Linked DNA regions of Oryzias latipes. The protein of the gene in region 5 interacts with the protein of the main gene of each other region in a pairwise test. Links are inferred from orthologs where the notes say so. Each region holds a gene or a part of one and is shown on either strand. Other genes may lie near its edges. The genes, in order: setbp1, meaf6, ube2z, hspb7, plekhf2 and frmd8.

Region 1 (3,932 bases), on a different chromosome or scaffold from region 5:
CTGGTTTATGTATGGCTGACCCTTCCTTGGGCCTCCCTCACCTCCTCAACCTGAGCCTCAGCGTCTCCTCACAAACACACACACCTTGACCAGCCTCAGACAGCAGGCTGACTGTGAGAGGCCAGATGCATGACATAAATACCTTTATTATGCTGCTCGTGCTGCACTCAAACAGCATAAGGTCATTCCCCACGTTGCACGTGAGGACGTTCCCGGCAACATTTTGCCAACACGCGATTATGAGAGAGCGTGGATACTGGGATACGGGCTTGGAGATGATGCAGACAGACAATTGAGAAATGCACACAAGGGGAGAGCAAGGGATGGCAGCAGAAACACAACCATTTAAGGCTGCATACCCAGCAGCCCCAGTGCCTGAGGTGGACTCACAAATAGCTCGTACACACATGCAGACAGATGCATGCACACACATTTGCAGAACTGGTGGACTGTTTGCAGAAGGTGATGTTTTTCCACTTTTAGTTTTCTCTTATAGAAGGGCACTCACAGAAACCAAGTTACCCAGAGGACCAAATCATGGATTTAGCTTTTTTTTCCCTGTGTGTTACTACCTGTGTTGTCTTCTGCTACAGGGCAGCTGGAAGGTCTATAAAACACAGAGCTATCACTGAAAAGGATGGCCTCAGAGCTGCTTCATGAAGGATGGACGCACACACACACACACATCATCTGGAGAAGTCGCATGCCAGGTAGCACTAAAACCATCCTCACCTAACTACCTCGTACAAGCAGATGAATGTTAAACCATTTTAACTGCAGCAGAAGCCACAAAATGGCTGTCAGCAAAAACACCTCCCCTACTCCCCAACTGTCTTCCTCCTTCCCCACCACCTCCACCACCCCCCACCCTCCCCAGCCTCTGTTCTCTCCCCTCTTCTCTGTGCTACCACTTTCCTTTACCCTCCCTCCCGCTCTCGTTCTGTGTGCTCTGCCAAAAGGTGCTCCAGTGCTGATATTCCGTTAAGAGCGGCTGCCAAGTTTGATTTGTCCTTGAATCCTGCTCACATCCCCCCACCCCGACACACACACACACACACTTTGCCTCCTCTGATCCTGTTTCGACCCAAGTTATCCATCTAAGACTTGGGATACACCTAATCGATTTCTCATGCTTTCATTTAAAGGTGGCATGAACATCTCATTACCTAACAGACCACAATAAACCTGTTTGCTCTTAGTGTACCACAAAAAAGAGAGGATCACCTCCATCCATGTCTGCTTCAGCTCTTTCCACCTGCCTCTCTGCTTGTGCCCTTTCATCCGTCAGCACTTATTTCAACAACTTCCCTCCCACACCAGTGACAGATCCCACCATATTTTGCTTGACTCAATCCGGGTTGTCAATTTATCTTCTGGAGCTGCAACTGGGGAGTTTTGTTTTTTAAAAGCAACTGATAAACCACTGACTTTCAAACCTCTGAGAAAGCTAAAAGGAGATCAAGTCTTTTTTTCTTCAAAACTGACAGAAAAACCACATGAAGCAGCACCAGCTTTGATCATCAGGAGTGGAACCTGTGCTGTGGTTGAAATCAGGATCCAAACACATAAAAATTAAAATGAAATAAAAATGTAAAAATAAGAAGCTTTTTGTGGACTTTTTGTGGCATTTTATCACAGAGAAAAAGTATGCAGCATCCATCTGCTGGCTCGTGCCACAAAGTGTGTTACCATGTGGAAGAAACATCAAATTCACTAAAGATGGGGGCGGGGGGTGGGGTGGGGGTCCTCACATGCTTCATTATAAATAAAATGTATCACAAAAATGAACACTAATGCCTGCTGTCACTGAGTGACAGCCTGGTTTGAGCTGTGTACGTGCGTGAATCTGCGCGTTAACTTCACCAGTGCGTGCGCTCCGTGGATCTTGTCTGCATGTGGCAACAAAAATTTCTTTATATTCACTGAAATATTAAAGCTGCATGTAATGGGGTTGGGGGGAAGGGGGGAACAAATTTATGAAAAACGGAACAGGAACACAAACACATTTACAGCAGAGGTGCGTTCAGGTGCGCAAAAGGCGGTCAGCCACTTACCCATGTCTAACGTTGACGCGCAGCCGGCTTGAACGTGTGAATATTTTATCAAGATCATTTACAATCCATTTATCCGAGGCACATTTTCACACAAGCGGCGGATGGGATGACAGCCTCCCGGGGAGCTGTCAAACGCAGCCAGAATATGTGCGTCTTTCTGACAGAAAACCCCGGGGAAAATGGCGTCAACGGCGCTCTGGACACAGAGAAAAAATGTGTCTCTCTTTTTTTTTTTTTTTTTTTTTTTGCAGCCGATCCGGTGACAGAATCAAGGTAGCCACGTAGAAGGACGAGAAAGTCCGATCAGAAACTTGAGTCCAGTTGCTCACAGAAACGGGACGTTTGGAAGCTTCCGAGGACGAGCTGGCGGCGGTGCAGAGTGCGTGTCCGATGCGGGATCGCTGGTTACTCGGGAAGCTGAGATCCCTTGCAAATCCGCTAGTAAGGGAGGAGGAGGAGGAAGAGGAGGAGGACTGTTACTGCAGTCAAAACAAGCAACCCGCATCCGACTACAACAACCCCGAATCCAGAAGAATTTTTTTAGCGACAAGACCGCGCTTGTTTGCTGCGAACTGAGAGCAGAGGACGCGGCTGCAGGTTCGGATTTCGGCTGCGCAGAATCGAACCTCCCTCGTTTTTTCTCTCTCTCTCTCTCTCTTCGTTTCCCCGCTTTTCCGATCGGTGAATGTCAGGTCTCAGAACTGGAGTCTGGTAATGATCTCACCCAGCAGACTGTGGGCTCCGTCGAAGCGGAGCGGACCGCAGACAAGAGGAGGGACAACAACGCCCCCTTCTGGTGGAACACTAACTCAGCGCGTCCCTATATTTTCCCAGCCTCCCACTTGTTTTCTCCAGAGATTTCTCCCGAGGGATGGACGGCCAGTGGGTTCAATGCACCTGTTCAATGCAACATCTGGAAAAAAAATACCTGAAGTTTTGAATAAATAATAACAATAAAAACAGTCTTGTTGGCAAAACCTGTGGACAAAACACATTAATAGAAGAAGTAGATGAGTGAACTTTTTAAAAATTATTATTATTGGAATGGGAAAATGCTTTGATTTAGACTAAAAAGTTCACAAATAAACTGATGATTCATCTCACCTAAATAAAAAATCAGTTAATTTACCACATTTATTAACATTGTTAGTTTACAAATAACTAGTGCTTTAAAACTAAGCAAATGTAGAACTTTTAGCATCCAATTATCCTGTTATCTCAGATTTTGCTTTAAAACCAAAGCTCAGATTAGAGATCAAAAAAGCTGCTATAATTAATCATGAAGTTCAAATATATCCAATTTTGTTTCATTTAAATCCAGAAAAAACTGTAAAATATAAAAACAAAGTCCAATTCTTTATTGTACAACAAAATATATAATATACATTTTTCAAAAAACACACAAAAAAAGAAATTAAAGCTTATAGACACTGATTTTTAAACAAACAAAAGTAAGTGCAATGTGGAGATAAGAGTAAAACAGGTAGCACTTGATTGCTTTTAACAATTAAACCAAACACGGAAAAGCCTTTTTAAAACGTCAACAAGGTCAAAAAGCAGTTCTGATTTATTTTTATCTTTTGACTCTTCAAAGCAGATCTTGTATTCAGAAAATGTATGCTAAACCACACTTTTATCATAACAAAGCTGTTGCTTTATATCAAGAACCCGGTGTTTCAGCCTGCATCACAAACCAAGTTAAACATCATGTAGTAGTAGCTCAAGTAAGGACCAAGATGACAAAAGCAGTATCTTGATAAACACGACTGAACATAAATTCTACATGATGTAAAGGAATGAAATGCTTTAATGTAGAAAAATTGATTCAAGTTTTTGAAACTGAATCAATGAAAATAACTCCACGAGAGGACTAGACGG
Region 2 (3,927 bases), on a different chromosome or scaffold from region 5:
TTGCCATTGAGCTGGCTTCTCAGGACTTGCCTTACTTGTATGAGGTATTTAGCTGTTGCAGCTTTCCTTGTTGCCTGCTCCAGGTTGCCATTTGCCTGCGGAATTCCAAGGTACTTGTAACTTTCCTCAATGTCTTCCATTGTTCCTTCTGGGAGTGGGACCCCTTCTGTGTGGACTACTTTGCCTCTCTTTGTCACCATCCGGCTACATTTCTCGAGCCCGAATGACATCCCAATGTCAGTACTGTAGATCCTGGTGGTGTGGATCAGGGAGTCAATGTCACGCTCGCTCTTAGCATATAGCTTGATGTCATCCATGTAGAGGAGGTGACTGATGTTGGCCCCATTTCTGAGTCGGTATCCATAGCCAGTCTTGTTGATTATTTGGCTGAGGGGGTTCAGACCTATGCAGAACAGCTGTGGGGACAGAGCATCACCATGGTATATCCAAAATTTGATGGACACTTGTGCAAGTGGCTTCCCATTGGCTTCATTTCCTATGAAGAGTCCTTTTGATGTTGTACAGCTCCAAGCATTCAGTGATCCACGTGTGTGGCATTGAGTCATAGGCCTTCTTGTAATCAATCCAGGCTGTGCACAGGTTGGTGTGTCGTGACCTGCAGTCTTGAGTGACTGTTCTGTCAACCAGGAGTTGGTGTTTGGCTCCTCTGAAGACTCTACCAATGCCCTTCTGTGTGTTTGCTCATGTATTGATCCATGTGCCTATTTATCTTGGTTACAATGATGCCAGACATGAGCTTCCATGTTGTGGATAGACAGGTTATTGGGCAATAGTTGGTTGGGACTGCACCCTTTGAGGGATCCGTCTAGATCAGGATCGTTTGCCCTTCCGTTAGCCATTCGGGTGAGTCCCATGAGCAGCTGGTTCATTTGTGCTGGCAGACGCTCGTGGAGTGCGGTGAGCTTCTTTAGTCAGTAGGCATGTAACATGTCAGGGCCCGGTGCTGTGCAGTTTTTCATACCTGAGACTCTTTCTTGTATGTCTGCCACTGTGATGGTTACTGGATTCTGTTCAGGGAGGTTGCTATTTTCTTTTGTCAGAGAGACCAGCCACTGGGCATTACTGTTATGTACTGTCTCTTTCTTCCATTTACCTTTCCAGAACTCAGTTCAAGTATAAAACAAGGTAGGAAGAGGGTCCTTTCACAACGCTTGGGCGCCACCTTGCGGTCTTATCTTTGTCGGCACCAACGCGTCTCCAGTTTTCCTGAGCGCGCGCGCCTCCTCCCGTCGGTTCCGGAACGAGCCATCATGTCGATGCACGCGAAGGCGACCCCGCCGCAAATCCCGGACACGCGTCGGGAGCTGGCGGAGCTGGTGAAGAGGAAACAGGAGCTCGCCGTGAGTCCGCAGTTCTGTTTCAGCGGGTTAAATGTTTTTTTTCGGAACCCGGGTTTAGCGCGCCAAGCTGAGATACCCGAGCATTAGCTTATGCTAGCTGAGCTAGCAGGCCGCAAAACCTTTATTGTGAATTGTCCTAACTAAGCATCGACCAAGAACAAAAACACTTTATCCTCACATCGAAAAAAACATTTAAAGTTTGTGTTTCTGCGTTTCATGTTTGAATGTTTTATTTTTTCACGTTTTTTGACGAACAAAATCCAAATTAGTTTACAGACCTGAAGCACGAACAGTGTGTTCTCGCGATACCTTACGTTTTGAAACTCTTTATTGTTCAACACCGTTGTTTACAGAGTGGAACCTACTAAGATTTAGTAGTGAAAAACCAAGTTACAATCGCGTTACATTTCTGTCATAGGTTATTTTTCTTATCTTTTTGCGACTTTTACTGTTTTCATCTCTAGTTGTGCTTCTAGTAATACTCTAAGTAATGGAAAATGACCTTTATTGTAAAGTACTAGTGCGTCACTTAAAATTACTTTTTTTGTCTAACATAAAACGTTTAACAACAAATTTGCTTAATTACCCAGTACTGTAGTAGTAGTTTTTTTGGTTTACATACTCGTTTGGTTTACATACTCGTTTTTTAACATGTTGTTATTGTTTGGACGACTACTCTTTAACTTTTGCCTCCTTAACATTATTTAAAATAATGTTTTGCTTGTACTTGAAAGATGTTTCCCGTCAATTTATTGACCTTTATTGACAATAACAAGCGTCAAATTCAATTAAAAAGTCTCAAAATGGAATTTTTCTTGAATTTAGTTGGAATGTATAAATGCATGTATCCATCATCTACCACTTCAAAGATAGAAAATGTTTTTCTAGTTGTATACTGACTCTGCAGTCTTGTGGATTTCTATAAACATTGAATTTAGTTCATAAATTGGAAAATTAGATGATTGGGTTGATCAACTAGGAAGAGAAAGACCAATTCTGGAGCTGAAAAATTCAAAGTTTACCTCAAGTGGCTAAATAATGAAACAATCTTTACCAGAACCTCAAGAGGATTTTCAAGTTTTTGATGGTAAAAATAAATGAATGAAATAAATTTTAAAAAAGCTATCTTTGTGAAAAGATAAGCACTGATCTTAGCTTGACCAATCAGAACGTCTGCAGTAAAACCGTTTTAACGACACAGGAGACGCTGGTGAACCTGGAGCGGCAGATTTACGCCTTTGAGGGCAGCTACCTGGAGGACACTCAGATGTACGGGAACATCATCCGAGGGTGGGACCGATACCTGACCAACCAGAAGTGAGTGTGAATGCGGCAGACTCCGGTGAGGTTAGATCTTCTGTGCGTTTGCTGATCGGGTCCTTTTCTTTTTCTGCGATCAATCAGGAACTCCAATAGTAAGACTGACCGGAGGAATCGCAAGTTCAAGGAAGCGGAGCGTTTGTTCAGCAAGTCCTCTGTCACGTCCGTCGCAGTAAGTACTTCCTGCGCGTGATGCGTTCAGCCATCTCATGTGAAGTTGCTCCTCAGTGGTCTCTTGTGATTGGCAGGCAGTGTGTGCGCTCGGCGGGATCCCGGATCACATGAACGAGAAGCGTGAGTCAAATTTGCCTACTTTCCTGGTGCCTGGGCCTCCTCAGAATGCCGGTTCTGACTTGTTGCCTCCCGGGGGATTCCCCAGGTGAGGCCGGCAGCGGCACAGAGAGCGATGCGTCTCCAGACCTTCAGAACCAGGAGAACGAGCCGAGTCAGGAGGACACGGAGGACGTGGACTCCACGCTGCACGACCTGAAGCCTCAGAAAGCCGCCTCCTCTTCCTCAGGCAGCCATCACGGGAGCTACAAGAAGAGGAAGAACAAGAACAGACACAGGTGAGGTGTGGGCGGGGTTAAAGCTGAGCCGCAGCAGATTCACCAGAACTTTTCTGTTTAAATTTGGAGATTTACAGCTTTAACAAGGCAAACTAATATATTTGTGTTATTAAGATCAAGAGAACAGATTACACTTAATAAAAATTACAATAATTGAACATTTTTACAAAATATGGTGATTTTTTTTTTTTTTTTTTTTTTTTCCGTCTTCTTCTGACTAAAAAAGTTGAAGTAGAAAACGTTCATTTCCTAAAAAAAATGCTCGTGTGATTGCTGAAGCTGGCTACAGATGATGATGATGATGATTAGGGCTGAAACGATTCCTCGAGTTACTCGACTTACTCGATTACAAAATTTCCTCGAGGAAAAAACTCTGCCTCGAAGCCTCGTTACATTCCTATGACGCGCACTATACGCAGGGATTTGATTGTGTCACACGGACCTTTTGAATTTAGTTGGCGCGATGGCGGAGAATAGATCTATAAATAAACGGCAGAAATTGTCTTAAGTGTGGGATCATTACACACTTAATAAAGAAGAGAACAAGGTGCAGTGTCTGTACTGCAAAATAGAGCTGGCATTCCACAACAGCACATCTTCCATGATTCAGCATCTGAACAGAAGACATCTGCGCGACCGCTGGAACCCCGACGCCTTACCCGCGCGTGCCGCCGGCA
Region 3 (3,500 bases), on a different chromosome or scaffold from region 5:
CAGTCGGATTTGTGCGTGCGTAATACTTGATTTGTGCGTAAATTAGGATTTGTGTATGGATATTCTTGCTTTGTGCGTTTGTAAATTAGGATTTGTGCATAAATTTGGATTTTTGCGTGATTTGTTACTCACATAATACGTTTTGTGTATAAATTAAAAAAATATAAAATGAAAAAAATACAAAATGCAATTTACGTATGCACAAATTAAGATTACAACAGCTTGAAACTACTTACACACACACATCTTTAAAAAACACGCACGAATCCTTTGTTCCGCACACACGAAGCCAAAGTTACGCACGGATCTACCGTGAGACTGTTTTCACGTCTCACAAATTCGTCCGTAAGTGCTGCGTTTAAATACCAGTGGAATGCTCGGTCACTAGAATTTTCCTATCAGCCTTCCCTTCTAAACGTATTTCCTTCAGTGGGTTTAGCAGGGCTTAAAAAAACTTTAAAGGAAAATAAAAATTATTATCTGAGAATATGACGTTCACTTTTAAACGCTAATATATATATTAAAAGTATATTATTCTCCAAGACACCGAATTGATACAAAATGCGTAACAGGAGCGACCAGTAGGGGGCACTGTTTTTTTTCTTCCGGAAAAATCAAAGGCTGTCAGACTGAGAGAGTCACGGGAAGAATGGCGGCCCATCTCGGTGGTCAGCGCCCCGAAGTAAGTAGCCTCTATTTTCAACACTTACATCTACTGTCTTCATGTATTGATTGAGTCATTGTCTGGATACGTTTAGAAGGGAAGGCTGATAGGAAAATTCTAATGACCGAGCATTCCACTGGTATTTAAACGCAGCACTTACGGACGAATTTGGGAGACGTGAAAACAGTCTCACGGTAGATCCGTGCGTAACTTTGGCTTCGTGTGTGCGGAACAAAGGATTCGTGCGTGTTTTTTAAAGATGTGTGTGTGTGTAAGTAGTTTCAAGCTGTTGTAATCTTAATTTGTGCATACGTAAATTGTATTTTGTATTTTTTTCATTTTATATTTTTTTAACTTATACACAAAACGTATTATGTGAGTAACAAATCACGCACAAATCCAAATTTATGCACAAATCCTAATTTACGCACGCACAAAGCAAGAATATCCATACACAAATCCTAATTTACGCACAAATCAAGTATTACGCACGCACAAATCCGACTGAGTCTAATTTCTCTCCATAGAGCAAGACCCCAATCAGAGCGAACGCAGCTGGAAATTTAGTACTGAACTGACTGAAAGCTGCCCTACAGACTACAAAACAATGCATTATGGGACATGTGTCCTGATGGGTTTTTGTAGTTCACTGATCAATTAAAATAATTTAAAATACCAACTGATTAAAAAAAGGCTACATCCATTACAAAACATTAAAATAATTATAAAAGATGTAATATCACAGATCATACTTAGGGGGAGAGGCATATTAAAACTAAATTGAACGTTACGGACTACAACTTCCTGTTCTCCTTCAGTCTCGCTTTAGCTTCGCCTTCATGCCCCCCCCCCCCCCCCCCCCCAGGGCGCTGGTTCATCTTAGACACGTCTATCGTTGCATTTTCCCCATGTGTTTTAAATGTGACTAAGACTAAATCGTGTTGTTGCTCACACGTGTTTAATGCTAGAGCCCCGTTAGCTGTCACGCATGTAGGTGTGGGACATTTATTCCCCTCAGCTGACCCGACTCCCGCGGGAGCGGTGTGCTGCCGTTACAGCCGTGCATGAGAACCGCGGTTTGCTTCGTGAGTTTGAGACCCCTGCTGTAGACTTTGGCCCTGGTACACCAGCCGCAGGTCGGAAGAACGAATCAATAGTTCGCTTATTCATAGCTCAGACGCACATATCAGGTTGTGATGATATTTGTCTCCGTTTCCTTCCCACAGATGTTTACGCGCGCTCGATTATCTCTAGGCCCCTCCCCCTCCACGCATTTAGCCACTTACAGTGACTTTCCCTATTGGTCCATTATTTTTATTTTTTGTATTTTTATAGTCCAGTTGGTTTTGAGCAGATGTTTGAAAAGTGAACTTTGTAAATGTCAACAGTTTGGCTCAAACCTGCGTTGCTTAGCAGCGGAGCCGCCACCAGTGTGTGAATGTGTGTGTGACTGTGTGTGTGACTGTGTGTGTGACTGGGTGAATGGGTCTGTGACTGTAAAGCGCTTTGTCCTTGTAGGAAGAAAGGCGCTATATAAGTATAAGCCATTTATTCTTCTCACACGCAGTGGCCGCCTCACAGACGGGCATCACTCAATGAAACGCGAGAGTGTGCTCGTGTGTCTCATGAGTATGTGTGCGAGTGTGTGTCTGTCTGCGTGCGTGTGCGCTCGCGTCTCATTGATTATTTCATTGCTCATTTCATTGATCATTGACTTGCCCCTTCCATGTTTAATGTATAAAAAATACGGAGGGTGGGGGAGGCAAATTTACTGGTAGCACATGTGTGACTGGATGTAAAATTCAAATTTTGGTCGCAAAAATGTCTGGAGCCCTGGTTCGTCTCTAACCGCCGGGTTTCTGTCGCGGGTTTTGTCTGTAGAGGATGAATGTCGCTGCAGCAGAGAGATGCTCAGCAGAGATTTGGAACGATGTCTCCTCAGATCCACGCGCTGATTACAGGACCGTTCGATACGCCGTACGAGGGCGGCTTCTTCCTCTTCCTGTTCCGCTGCCCCCCAGACTACCCCATCCACCCCCCGCGGGTGAAGCTCATCACCACTGGACACAACACTGTTCGCTTTAACCCCAACTTTTACCGCAACGGCAAGGTGTGCCTCAGCATCCTGGGGTAAGTCCTCTTTCTGCTACGTTACAGTCAGACATGCAGCACAGACTCAAACTTCCACCCAAGTCGGATTTTTACTAACCAAATCCATGAACGTTTTTTTCCAGTTTGGTGTTAAGGTTGGGAAAATGTAGTTTTAGCAGAAATGCAGAAGACGAGCGGGACCCGCCTCACTACTGTGAGGGCGAACCAAAACTAAATCTGTTCTAACCGTGTCTGTGTGTATGGGTGTGTGTGTGTGTGTGTGTAGGACTTGGACCGGTCCAGCTTGGAGTCCTGCCCAGAGCATCTCGTCTGTCCTCATTTCCATCCAGTCTCTGATGACGGAGAACCCGTACCACAACGAACCTGGGTTTGAGCAGGTAAAGCTCCCCGCCGCCGCCAACTCCAAAGTTCTGTATCGCCTCATCATCAGAAATGTCGCGATGAACATAATCAGACAGCCAGTGGGGGGCGTGGTTGAGTGAGTTCAAATTCAGGAAGGCACAAGTCACGTGATCACGTGATTCTGTGCAGTGGTTGTGAAACTGTGTCAAACCTTCTGGTAAAATTCAGGGTCTAAACTCAAGTGCAGCTCTAGTGAGTCTGGTTTCTGTTGCTGCTGCATCAAATCAAAAACCTGAAGACACGACAGTAAATCCACTGTTCAGTCATTAACGCTGTCTGAACTCTAAATAATTATCTAACAAGGGGATTTAAAACTCAAATG
Region 4 (4,248 bases), on a different chromosome or scaffold from region 5:
CTCACATACAGACAATGCTAAAGTAAAAGTTTTGATACACAACTGAGGCTGATTTGACAATTACCAATTACCCAGTGATGCTCAAAGATGCCAAATGGAGCTTCCCTGATGTTTCTGAGTATTTTCTTGCCTCATTAACACCATCAGCTTTGCATTCAGATGTGGACACCTTCTCCAGAACTGCCATCTGTTAATCATCCAGAGGGAGACTCTGCATGGACTCCAGGGATCATGGTGAGCCACGAGAGAAAAAGCCTTTCCCAGCATCTGTGGTGTAAAGCTGACGGTGAAAACTGCTGAAGAAGACATCTGAGTCTCTGTGGTTCCACTTTTCCTCCAAAGTGAAACATGCTTCTAAGCTTCCTGAGGTTTAATTGGAGCTTTCTGCCTAAGAACCGGGCCAGCTGTTGAACACAAATTAACTCTGTCAAATCAATAAACACAGCTTGACACAAAAAGTGTTTGGAGTTTGATCTTAGATGTGAGGAGCCTCTGCTGTGAATGATGCTGGCAAACTGAAATATTGCTGAATGTCATGTTTCACCTCATACACGAAACCACAGGACTCTGATCTCTTTACTGTTGCTTTGTGACACTGTTTGTAGATGTCTCAACAATCATAACAAAAAATCATTACTGCAATCGTCATAACTCTCATCACAACTATCGTCACTACTGTCTTGTCTGCCTTTCCTGCTTTGTCCAGTGTGCGTTATGGGGTTGCTAGAACTTATTCAAACCACTACAGGCAAGGACACTATGAACAGTTTACCAGACTACTGAGAGGTGGGTGGACACACACACATACTGGTTTTCATGCACTTTTACACAGAAACCTCAAACACACCTTGAAATTCTATTACAAACAGATATATGCAAACAAAAACACACATGCACGCACACATATAGACACAGAAACATATACTACACGTACACTCACACACATGCGCACGCACACACACACGTATACATACACTAACACACACATTTGATTTGAACCTTTTCTCTAGGGAGAGAGTGTTAACTACTACACCACTGTGCTGCCTCCTGAAAACAACCAAAATCATCCAAAAAAATTCAGCCAGAGGATGAATAAAATATATTTTATCAAATATTCACATTTTAATCATGTGAAGTGATCAGTTGATCAAAAAAAAAAGCACTTTGTCTGCATTGCTGGTGACGTTTCAGTTTGGGTGCATGGTCAGGATGACCTGACTGTTGAAGCACTTTTCTATTTCTGTCTGCATCTGTGCACCCCCCTCTATGTTATCTGTAGTGTGTATTTGTGTGTGAGTGTGAATAAGAAGTCTCCACTTACTATCAGTTTGTCCGTTACACTCTTGGCTCTTGTCGTTGGAAAAACAACCATCTAAGGCTAAAAGTATCTTGAGACCCAGAATGGTTCATGCTAAACCCCAGGCTGAAGAATGTGCAGGAATGCATAAAAGCAGCCAGGATGGCAGGAAGAGGTCCAGCCGTAGTCATAATCAGTGTCCTCCAAAGCTCCTTCTCTGTATTTAGAGTCGACTGGGAAAAATCCTGCTACACTTTTTCATCATCACACAAGTTTTATGAGTAAAACGTTTCTGCGATTCAGTTATGTCGTCTGTGTCCTCCTCTTACCGCTCCTCATCTCGCTACAGCACCTCCAGCACCTATCGATCAAGGGGATCACTGAGCGGATCCACAGATTCCCTCGATGTTCTGTTGGAGCCCTTCCTTGATTCTTCTAACTGTTCCAGCTTGTTTGGAGATGACAGCAGCCTGAGCCCCTTGAGCAGGAACAGAAGTTCATCCAGTGAGCATTCAGGTGAGGGAATCATCTAGTTTTACCATTAAGCAGGCTTAAAGTTACTAAAACATCATTGTCATCATTAGTATGTCATGTTTTGCATTTGTGCTAATGAGGACCAGAGAGCAGGTTCCCATTACACCTATTTTATTGCGTTGGTTCTCTGTTTGGTTCAGGGTTGATCTTGAGGTCCCAGTACTGGTTTTAAGTGTTTTGTGGGTCACATTCCTTCTTACAAACTCTCAAATCTTCCAGCAATGGCCTTTTAACTGTTCCTACAGTAAAATCAAAAACCCACAGTGAGGTTTTTTCACCGTAGGTTGTAAAGATGTGCTTCTGCTCTAATAACCTTCCGAGATTTTGAAGATGAGGCCAATTATTAGCTGTCCATGGCTAATTTTATGTTGTATTTTTTAACAATTCTTTTATTCCCACATCATAAGATTTCCTTTCATTTATTCTGATTGTAGTTATTTTGTAATTTACGTCTTGTGTTTTCTGTTTTTACTTTTCAATTCCAACCAAATTCTAGTTTTAGAGAGCAAATGTTTGATTCCAGTTTTCTTATGACAGGTTGTCACTAATGATGGACAGTTTTCACAGTGAGCCGTAGAGGCTCGCTGCTCATGAGACTGCTGATTCTGATGGTTCTCCTTATTAGCCACTCCTTCAAGGTTTTCCATGTCTCCTGGACTGTGTTATATTGAGAGTCAGGAAGTAAATTGTTTGGGGGTTTACATGTAATGGGTGGAAGATGTGTGGTTACTTTTTAAGAAGTAAAACACTTTGTAATGAATTTAGCTGTATGAATAAAGTTTTGATTGATTGATGTTGATCAGTGCACTCCTGAAAATTGGTCCACAAGCACAGTTTAAAGACAGCACAAACATTTAATAAACAACACAAAAACTTTAAAAATATTTAAAACTCAAGTTAAAATGAAGATGTAAAGTATGAATGTAATGTATTTTATTTAAAGAAAAAAAAATCTTTTACATTGTGCATATTTCAATCAGTCAACTACTTAGCACTTTTCATCTACAAGCTGTTGAGCACAAGGTGCTTGACAGAGGAATATATGTTATTAGTTAAAACAGTAAAAAGTCATAAGACACAATCGATTAAAAGGAACAACATTTAAAGCAAACATAAAAAAGAAAGACAATGAAATGGCTAAAATGTGACGTATTTGACCATAAAGCTTAGTTTAGCATACCACATGTATGTCACACATATGTTCATCAAAGAGATATTAGTGCAAAATTCCAATTCACATGTGGAATAATCACAACAATAATTCTCCTCAGCAGATATGAATAGTAAACTCCCTTGTTCTATCCTAGGCACTTTAACATTGGGAGTTGGGTCATCTAGACCCACTACACAGTGCGCTGAACCTTTTTTCTTCAATGCTTTGAGATCTTCACTGGTGTCCATGGATTACATGAAATCTTTCCACCTTTATCCACCTTTGTCATGGTAGGGAGAACACGTCGATGTAAGGGTCATCCAAGATGGCACAAGGGTTTACATGGATACATGTTTTTTTGTTTTTGTTTTTTTTTACTTCATCTTCTTGTTTTGATGACAGTTTAGGGTTTTCTTAAGCAAGGTTTTTCTACTTTCCATATTCTGGAGCTGACATCCTTCAGTTGTTCTTTTTTGTCTCCACAGCTTCTGCAGGTGGAACTGTGGCAGGACTGCAGACTGGAGCAAGTAGCGGGGTGCGATGTGTTGGTGATACTTACTACATTTCTGCTGATGTCAGCCAGTTTGAGCCACAGGATATTGTAATTATGGCCTACAATCAAAAAATCGTCATTCAAGCCCAAAAGGTGAGTGACGGAAGGAACCCAGGCTGGTTCCATTTCCTGTTCAGGTATACAAAATCTGATTACTTTCTTTCTTTAGGACTAAGTCTTCTTTTGGTTGTTTTCTTTGAAGCTGATTATCCAAATGAGACAAAGACCTTAAGTATCAGATGAATGTAACCTCTGTTTGTCAAGATGTATGTGTATTTATGAGCCTTTTTCATATTGTCCATGTCCATCTCAAAAGAAACAGTAATGGTGCAGACCATCGCACCTTTTTCAGATATAATTTTTGTCTTTCGAAAGAAAACAGGTTATCTTATTTCAGCTATCAGGATTTAAACTAAGATACCATGTTTAATTCTGCAATTCAGTTCTGTCTTTTATATATATATATATATATATATATATATATATATATATATATATATATATATATATATATATATATATGGTAAATGGTAAATGGCGTATACTTATATAGCTCCTTTCTTCCTACAAGGACAAAGCGCTTTACAGTCACAGACCCATTCACCCAGTCACACACACATTCTCACACTGGTGGCGGCTCCGCTGCCAAACACAGGCGCCCGCCTACCACCAGTATATATATATATATATATATATATATATATATATATA
Region 5 (4,013 bases):
ACAGGTAACATCTTTGCTTATCTGCTTGATGTGTCACAAAGGAAGTAACAACCCTATTAATGTAAGCCGTAGCTATATATAAACTGAGACATGCAGGATTATGTGGTGGAAAGTACACTGGATTACAAAGGAAACTACAGACATCCTGTCCTTCCAGAATGGAGGGGAGCAGTGAGACGGACAGTCTGCTGTTCCGTCAGGTAGTTTTCATACTAGTCACCTCTAATAAAACTAGTTTTACTATTCAGGCTTGAACACAAATAGGGGACAAAATTACTTGGCTTGACTAAGTAACTTAATTACTTCTCTCAAATCAAAAGCATAAGTAATATTGTATAACTGATAACATAAGAACCTGTACTATATGTAACCAACTTCAGTTATCTAGGACTGGAAACCTGTCATAAGGTGTTCTTTTCCGTGACTTAGTAATTTTAGTAATTGAAAGTTCCTTAGACTGACAAAGGTGGTGGTAATCTTATACGCCAACATCCTTATCTCAACTATAGTAGGACAGTTAAAATACACCAGAGACATGTAAGGCTCCTAAAACTGGTTTTTAATGCAGTAAAGGTATATTAACAGTAATATTTTGTTAATACTCACATCATTTAAAATGTAGATAGTAACCCAAACCTAATTTTTCCTTTTGTTTTCCTATTCAGGTAAAAATGTTCTGTCTTTTCAGAATCTAATCATGTAATTTTTCTCAATATGCCTGAAATAACAAAATACTCATAAATAATTGGAATTTTTGTGGATACATTCATTTCTTGTGAGGTTTATTTTTTATTTTTAAAATGTTAAATCGAGCTTTTTTTCTGTTTTATATATTTTTTTCTAATACAACTATTTCATTACGTTGTAATAAAAAAACAACATTTTAAATGTTAAAAAATATTCTAAATTTAAAAAATTGGACAGGGTTTGACACTAAGCTTCCTGACATGTATGGAATTTGAGTCTAGAAAAGCCTCAGGTTTTGTTTTTCACAACTAATACCGGAAACAGAGGTATAAAAAAAAGAAACGAACAAATGCAGCATCAACCTTTAGAGCTAAAAAAAGATTAGATGCAATAGACACATTAGATAACAAGATCATATCTCACAAACCATTTCCTGCAAGCTTTTTTTTCCAGTAAACTGTGTGTTCAATCTTAAAACCAGTGATTTTCAATCTATTTCCAACATTAAATTCGAACATGACAACATGCATTTACATGTTTACATTTAGAATGAAGAAGCCACAGAAATACTGTACATGTGACCTCTGACTTTACATATTTTCTTCTCCCCTTACATATTGCAAAATGAATGTTTTTAAATAGCTTTGCCTTACAAGTGTCTTGACTTTGCAACCATTTGATTAAGTTTGCTAAAAAATATACAGTGGTGGATTACAAAAAGGGAAACAAACTATTTCTACTAAAACCTTTTTTTTTGGTTAAACCTGTTAATTAGAAGGGAAGGTACAAACACTGAAACACAGCTGATTTAATTACTAATTAATTATCAGATTAAAAAAACAAAAACATTATGCTGCCAAATTATAGGACAACAGTAGTTATTATTGAACGCATTAATTTCATGAATTATTTGGATTTGTGGCATTTGCAAAATTTGCAAGCAAAAATTAAATAAGTGCTTTGCACATATTGCAATTACCAATTTTCTCATCTACATTGTTCTCTCAAAAAATAAGAGTCCTCTGTGCAAAGAAAGCAGAACTTGTTCAGGAGTCAGCCACTGTAGTCAATGCATGTACTGACTTGTGAGGGGATAGGAATTTGAAACTTTAAAATAAAGAAAAAAGAAAAGTTCATGTACAACTTAATACCTGCCAAGCAGATTACACGTCAACAGCTTTTAGCATTCAAGGCTGAATAAGTAAAAATTAAAGAGAAGTTCTGTGCAGTTTTAACCTCTGCACTTTAACACATGCAAGACATGATGTTGAACTTCTCTTTTTCATTACAGAAAGTTCAACTAGCAGCAGAAATCGAACAGTTACTTCTACCACAGCACAAGAGAACAAGTCTGGACCTCTAACTGCTACCAGATTCACGTGAACAGGTTTCAGAAGGGTGGAGTAATCTGGAGTCTTTCCTAAACCTGTAACTGCTCAGGAAACTAGTCATTATTCTCTTCACCCCTCCAATTAATGCCTCAAAGGGAAATAAAACTCCTATAAACTGGAGTTTATCAAGGGTTTCCAAACTCAACAAAACACAATTGCTTACTTTTAAAATCTCCAAATGAAAGTTATAACAAAGTTCTCGAGACTTCCCGATTCAAAATTGTCATCCAAGTTGGAAAACTGGTGTCAATGTCAATTGAGAGTTAGCCACCTAGCTACGAAGTTAGCTTCTAAACATTCATCAAAAGTTAGTTCTGGTCCATAAGATAGTTCCACTTTTCTCACTAGGCCTTACCGAAACAAGATCTGCGATATCGTTTGATAAAAGTACCCGAAATAAAACGAAATAGTAGTTTTTAGAGCCAGCAACCTCCTAGCTTAAGAAGGAATAAAGTAGCACGAGCCAAAGCAGCCAGGCTTTAGCCCTATCGCCAAAAAAACCAACAGTAACAACTTTTAAACTCGAAGAACTACATACCTGATGGCAGCTGGTGTTATACAGTCAAACTTTCAGTAATTTTCAGCTCGGTTGTACTCCAGTTCCTGACCAAAAAAGCGATATCTTCGTTAGAGAAAGTGGCCGCTGCGTTCAGAGGGAGCAACAGCAGCTGGAAACTGCCCCGGCCGAGGATTAGACAACAACATGGCAGCACCGCGCTGCCTTCACGGACCTCCGCTTCAAATCCAGAGCGCTGGGAAAACGGAGCACTGACATGACACATTCAAAGGACTCAACTCTCACAGACGCTCAACTGTCATGTTGTGCATTTAGTATTACAAACAGCACTGAAAGATTACTACTTTTTACTGGTTATAAAATCAAAGTGCGCATAAAGTCATTGGTACTCAAATTTACTGGTGGATTATGAAAGCCTTCTTTGAAATGCAAAATTTACAAGCTTTATTTACATTTCTGTTTTTCTTGAAAATCTTTCTTTTTAAATGACTGAAAAGTCATTAAAAAAGATTCAATGTGCCTACAAAAATATAAAAATAAAATCCTGACACCAAACAAACACACCACAATAATAAAAAAAAGGCTTCTTGTTCCGCCCTTTATATTCAGTTTGGAAACCTCTTCAGTCATTTGAGTTATAGCCAAATTCCCCATCATGGAGCTACAACAATGATATCCTGTTTTGAGGTAATTTAAAAGAGAAACTCAAATAAAATGCTTCAGTCGTCAGTTCCCACATTCGGTGTCAGCCACTCTTTCATCCAAAACAAGTGACTTCATTTATTTATCTATTTACTTAATTCTCTATTAATAATTTATTTATTCATTTTCGTTTCTTTAGACATGCTATTTTAACAAAAAATAGTTCAAGCTATTCTCTAGAGCCTTGCCTCTGAAGTTTAACTTTCTGCAAAAAGTTAAAAAAATAAACAGAACTTAAACTCATACAGAAACGTTTCAACACAGCTGGAAGTCCTTTTAAAAGTAACAAATTCAAACAAAAACTTGTTTTGCCCCAACAACCTTTTTTGAGGAGAGGTTTTCTGATGTACCATGAAGGCACCACGAGCTGGGCCAGTAGCCAAACTCGGGGAAGAGAAATGAGGTGCCAGTTCATGATTCAGACCATAAACAGGACAGGACATGCTTGGCCTTTCCAGGTAACAAGGCGCTTCCAACTTTGTGGAAGAGAAAGTTGAAAAGCTTTCACCAACATTTGACACAATTAATTTTTTTGTTTTTTTTAAACAGAGAACATTTGCAGTCAGTCATAAATCAGGATTTTTTTAAAAACTCTGTCAAGCTAACTTTGTGCAATTTAATACAAAGGAGTATTAATTATTTTATTATAACTTCTTGAGGTTTATTTAAGAAGTACCTCCAGTTTTGTGAAATAGATCATAGAAACTTTAAGAATG
Region 6 (4,023 bases), on a different chromosome or scaffold from region 5:
GTTATATCACGGTTTACCTTTTGTGATCTCGCTGTTTTTGAACATTATTTTCAGTTCATTTTTACATTTTTTTTTTAACACTGTCCTGATTGCCTGTTGACGTTGTCAATGTCCTCTATGCCGTGTCTCCTGTTCGGCAGATTCACATGAATCATTCCTCTTGAGCAGATCTTTGTTTTTAATTCTGTAAAAGTGGACTCATTTTTCTATGAAGGTTTGAACTTTAAAAGTTTAAACGAGAGAAAAGTGTGAAAATGTTCATGTCAGTCTGAGAAAAGTGCATGAAGTGAGTAGTTTTACAGCCTTTAAAGCATCTATAATCCTCCTTTGCAGATTTCACCTATGGCAGGTTATGTTTGGAACGTAACTTCCGTGATAAATGAGGGACCACTAAAACACATAAAACATCTGCAGCAGAAGAAACCAGCTTTGTTTGGCATGTACAGATGAGCAGACTGCGAAGCAAAAAACGTTGGAGTTTAATAAATAATGTCAAAATCTGTATAGAACTATTTATCTTTATAGAACATCACATCATAATGTTTACAGGCTTTGATGGTCCCGGTTTCATAAGAAAACATGGCAGTTTCTTTTTAGGAAAATAAACTGGACCACAGAGAAACATTAACAACGGAAACCTCTTTGGCTGGAGACAGAATCAAACTGTGTCCAGGTCCTACCTTGTGCAATGTCGTCCTCCGATGCCTCAGTGAAGCGATACAGCAAGTCCTGCCACTGCCGACACAGTTTATAAGGCTGATGCCTCGCTTTTAACTGCAGTTCTGAAGAAAGGTGAATGGTCTTCAATGAGCATTATTATTTTAAGTGTACATTAGGTTAAGAGCAAAAAAAAAACGTACCAAGCAATGGGGAGCAAAGCCAAAAGGCAAACGCATCATGTAAAGACTCAGGAATTTGGAGAGCCTCACGAACACTGCGGCCCAATTCCTGCACTGTCACACTGCTGAGAGACTCCAAAGACAAGTGCACTGCGTTGTCGCCACACAAGTACACAAGCAGTTCCTGAACTGGGGGGGGGGGGGGGATATTAGAAAAAGAGGCATTTTTACACAGAAACCGATTCAATTTGATTACTGCATCAAAATGTGTGGAGAAAGTAGTAAGAGTGTCCATGAGGAGTTTGTAGAACCGTACCACGGGAAAGAGTTGCAGAGGAAGCAACACTTCCTCTTTGTGAAAGATCCTCTGACAGATCTGGAAGAAAACTGCCACTATCTCCCTCCATGTCTTATCTGAAACCCAAAAAAACAAGCATACAAGTGAGTCCAGACGTGTGACATAAAGGAAAAACTGTGATTAAGGTCAACACAAAAAAACTTGACTCTCTGCACGTGCCCGTTTAAAGACCCACTCCAATGAAAAGTGTGTTTTCAGCGTTTTTATGATGGAGGACATATTAAGAAAATTAAGATTAAAAGTGAATTTCTGAGTATTTCTTCATTTAAATTGTTCTGAATTTGAGCAGATGAAAAATATGCAGTTTAAAGAAGACTGGATTTGTTATGTAGGTCCAACAGTTGGCAGGCCACAAGCTCCCGCTCAGCTCCATTCTGATACATCCATGTGTAGACGACGTACGACCTCACTTTCCTCGTCTGAGCTGACATTTGGCTCAGAACTGTATGGCTGGATAGTTCTAATATTGCTCCCCATTTTCATTGCTCGGTTGAGTTGGGGCTAGCAGAAGAGAGTGTAAACAAAGAGATGATGGGAAATGAGGAGTGGCTTACTCCGAGCCAACAGTCCCGCCCACAACTCAAAGGGAAATTTCTGATAAACTTCTGCCGCCCTGCAGAAACTGTCATAGAAAACGTAACAGCTTATAAACAGCATGATCATAATTAAAAGACCACTGGGAACTCTTTTAGAATAGATCAAGAGATGATCGGTGTGGGACTTACTGAGTTTAATTGTTGCAGGAATAAATCCTGAACTGTTCAACATAAGAAAATGACCAAATAATTAGTTTTTATCTTTGTTAAAATTTGACTTTTTGAATGTTATAGATAAGCTCTGCAAAGATTTGTGTAGGTCACAGCCTGCATTGCCTAAAAACGCGCGTGCTCAGAAACTAAAAGATCTTCACTTTCCTTTTGTTTTTTTTCCAGTCGTGTTTACAGAAAGGAGATTGTTGCCAATAGTCGATGAAGGTTAGCGCCACCGTGTGGTTTCCAACAGAGCAGACTCCTAAAGAATTTCAACACTTCTGGCGACTGTTGACCAATAGTCCCCAAAACCCAAACATCCGTCATTCAATCCGTATATAACATTGACATAATGAAACACAAACTGAAAACTGACACCGTCTACTAGTTTACCGACTTTATTAGGCTTGTGTTAAACTGCAGACACCGTGACCAAACAATGGTCGGTAAATAGGAGCGACCCGCCGTGACATTTTTTTTCTACTGTGTTGTGTGAGCAAACGATTTGCTTAAGAAAAACTCAACGAATATGACGAGAAACACGACGCTGATGTCTTCGACTGTTAAGCGGAACCTATAAGTCCATAATATTTTATAAAAGTCGTGTTAATTGAAGCCTCGCTCGTTTTAGAGACTGCTTAAATACAAATCTTAAGAAATTATACATGAAAGGGAAACAATGACCTACTTTTATTTCACTGTAGCTCGTCTTCCGCTCGTTGAATATGAAGCAAAAAGGTCTGGCTAACTTTGGAAAGACTGCTAAATTCATCGGTTCATCAGCAGTTCACTTCAATTCACCTGGCTAGACACCACTAGCTAACTTAACCTAGCTTTCCGGGTAACTGCCAGTGTCAAAACGCAACCGCAGATTGATTGGTTAGTTTTTTTTATATGTCCCGCCCCCAAAAGACCCAACAGCCAATAAAAAGAGGTTCTTCAACCAGTGACAAGGTTTCGACATGAGAACATGTTTCACAGCGACAGGGCGGGAAACTACACACATGAAATATGAAATATTACTGAGCATGCGTCCTCTGTTTGTCACGTGATCAAACCTGCTGCTCTCTGCCTATCATCTTAGAGATTAGGAAATATCAGGCTGTTTTCTTTCATAGATATGTAAATATTATATGGCTTAAATGTCATATACTTGTATAGCGCGTTTCTACCAATTTTTCCACATATAGTGTCAATAGTGTTAATAGCATATGTTCATTTGTATTGCTTTGTTTTTTTCTCTTACAGGATTGCAGAGTTGCGTCTAATTCCTTAAATAAATTACCGGTAATTCATTTTTCTTAAATCAGATGTGAAGTGATTTTTCGAACACAACCTCAGATTACTCTGCCAATGTTTTTTTTCCTTTCATATATGTCTATTCAAAATGAAAAGGCCAATGAATATTTTAAATAAAATATTTCATATTAACAGTACCACTTGTTACAGTTTTTCTCAGTCGCTTTAGTACAATTTTCAGATCATAAGGAAATTCCCAAAACTATTTGTCCAATCTTCACATCATGATGTCACTTGTGCACATCATATAAGCAGTTTCTCACTTCTTTGAATAAGTTGCAATTGCTTTGGTACATCCATGCAAATGATTATGTACAATCCTCTGCTCTTTGCTACATTATCAATTGTTTATGTCATGTTGATCAAAATGAATTATATAGTTCACTGTGCAATAGTCTTACTCCTCAAAACACCTAGTCATTAGTTCATCGTATAAGTCATTAACTGCAAAATGGTTGACCAAGTTGTCATAATGTGACAAACATATTTCGCTGCATTGCAAGAGGGGACATTCGCTGTGATGTGGATGAGAATTTGTGGCCTAACATACAGGAACGACAAGAGGTGTAGGAAGACCACACCAATTCCTACTGCACTGCCTGTACTGTTGGACAGAATATTGTCCTATCTTTTTTTTCCCTTTGTGTTACTGTTTGCAGTGGGTTATTTCTATGTTGGTATGACATGGTCTGTCAACAAATTACAATATGAATAAAAGTGTAAATCTTGTCCAGTCTCTTGCAATCAAACAAAAAAAGTGTAACTTCCATTTTACAAT

What was found.
Region 1: the proteins of plekhf2 (region 5) and setbp1 interact in binary tests that used the Homo sapiens proteins (3 or more experiments, as listed by UniProt). The two-hybrid records come from large-scale screens. The link is inferred for Oryzias latipes from reciprocal best matches to the Homo sapiens genes PLEKHF2 and SETBP1.
Region 2: the proteins of plekhf2 (region 5) and meaf6 interact in binary tests that used the Homo sapiens proteins (3 or more experiments, as listed by UniProt). The two-hybrid records come from large-scale screens. The link is inferred for Oryzias latipes from reciprocal best matches to the Homo sapiens genes PLEKHF2 and MEAF6.
Region 3: the proteins of plekhf2 (region 5) and ube2z interact in binary tests that used the Homo sapiens proteins (3 or more experiments, as listed by UniProt). The two-hybrid records come from large-scale screens. The link is inferred for Oryzias latipes from reciprocal best matches to the Homo sapiens genes PLEKHF2 and UBE2Z.
Region 4: the proteins of plekhf2 (region 5) and hspb7 interact in binary tests that used the Homo sapiens proteins (3 or more experiments, as listed by UniProt). The two-hybrid records come from large-scale screens. The link is inferred for Oryzias latipes from reciprocal best matches to the Homo sapiens genes PLEKHF2 and HSPB7.
Region 6: the proteins of plekhf2 (region 5) and frmd8 interact in binary tests that used the Homo sapiens proteins (3 or more experiments, as listed by UniProt). The two-hybrid records come from large-scale screens. The link is inferred for Oryzias latipes from reciprocal best matches to the Homo sapiens genes PLEKHF2 and FRMD8.

Annotation. Positions count from the first base shown.
Region 1 is NC_019867.2:13,776,626-13,780,557, forward strand, and holds the start of setbp1 (SET-binding protein), read right to left. Parts: upstream 2,801-3,932; 5' UTR 2,055-2,800; intron 1-2,054.
Region 2 is NC_019869.2:19,900,512-19,904,438, forward strand, and holds the start of meaf6 (chromatin modification-related protein MEAF6), read left to right. Parts: upstream 1-1,127; 5' UTR 1,128-1,271; coding exon 1,272-1,361; intron 1,362-2,562; coding exon 2,563-2,678; intron 2,679-2,765; coding exon 2,766-2,853; intron 2,854-2,929; coding exon 2,930-2,975; intron 2,976-3,060; coding exon 3,061-3,250; intron 3,251-3,927.
Region 3 is NC_019866.2:24,083,111-24,086,610, reverse strand, and holds part of ube2z (ubiquitin-conjugating enzyme E2 Z), read left to right. Parts: intron 1-2,606; coding exon 2,607-2,794; intron 2,795-3,041; coding exon 3,042-3,153; intron 3,154-3,500. UniProt on the Homo sapiens protein: Catalyzes the covalent attachment of ubiquitin to other proteins. Specific substrate for UBA6, not charged with ubiquitin by UBE1. May be involved in apoptosis regulation.
Region 4 is NC_019871.2:18,813,604-18,817,851, forward strand, and holds the start of hspb7 (heat shock protein beta-7), read left to right. Parts: upstream 1-1,448; 5' UTR 1,449-1,602; coding exon 1,603-1,813; intron 1,814-3,469; coding exon 3,470-3,630; intron 3,631-4,248.
Region 5 is NC_019874.2:25,811,256-25,815,268, reverse strand, and holds the start of plekhf2 (pleckstrin homology domain-containing family F member 2), read right to left. Parts: upstream 2,801-4,013; 5' UTR 2,617-2,800; intron 1-2,616. UniProt on the Homo sapiens protein: May play a role in early endosome fusion upstream of RAB5, hence regulating receptor trafficking and fluid-phase transport. Enhances cellular sensitivity to TNF-induced apoptosis.
Region 6 is NC_019872.2:19,800,982-19,805,004, forward strand, and holds the start of frmd8 (FERM domain-containing protein 8), read right to left. Parts: upstream 2,801-4,023; 5' UTR 2,635-2,800; intron 1,254-2,634; 5' UTR 1,247-1,253; coding exon 1,156-1,246; intron 1,029-1,155; coding exon 861-1,028; intron 783-860; coding exon 681-782; intron 1-680. UniProt on the Homo sapiens protein: Promotes the cell surface stability of iRhom1/RHBDF1 and iRhom2/RHBDF2 and prevents their degradation via the endolysosomal pathway. By acting on iRhoms, involved in ADAM17-mediated shedding of TNF, amphiregulin/AREG, HBEGF and TGFA from the cell surface.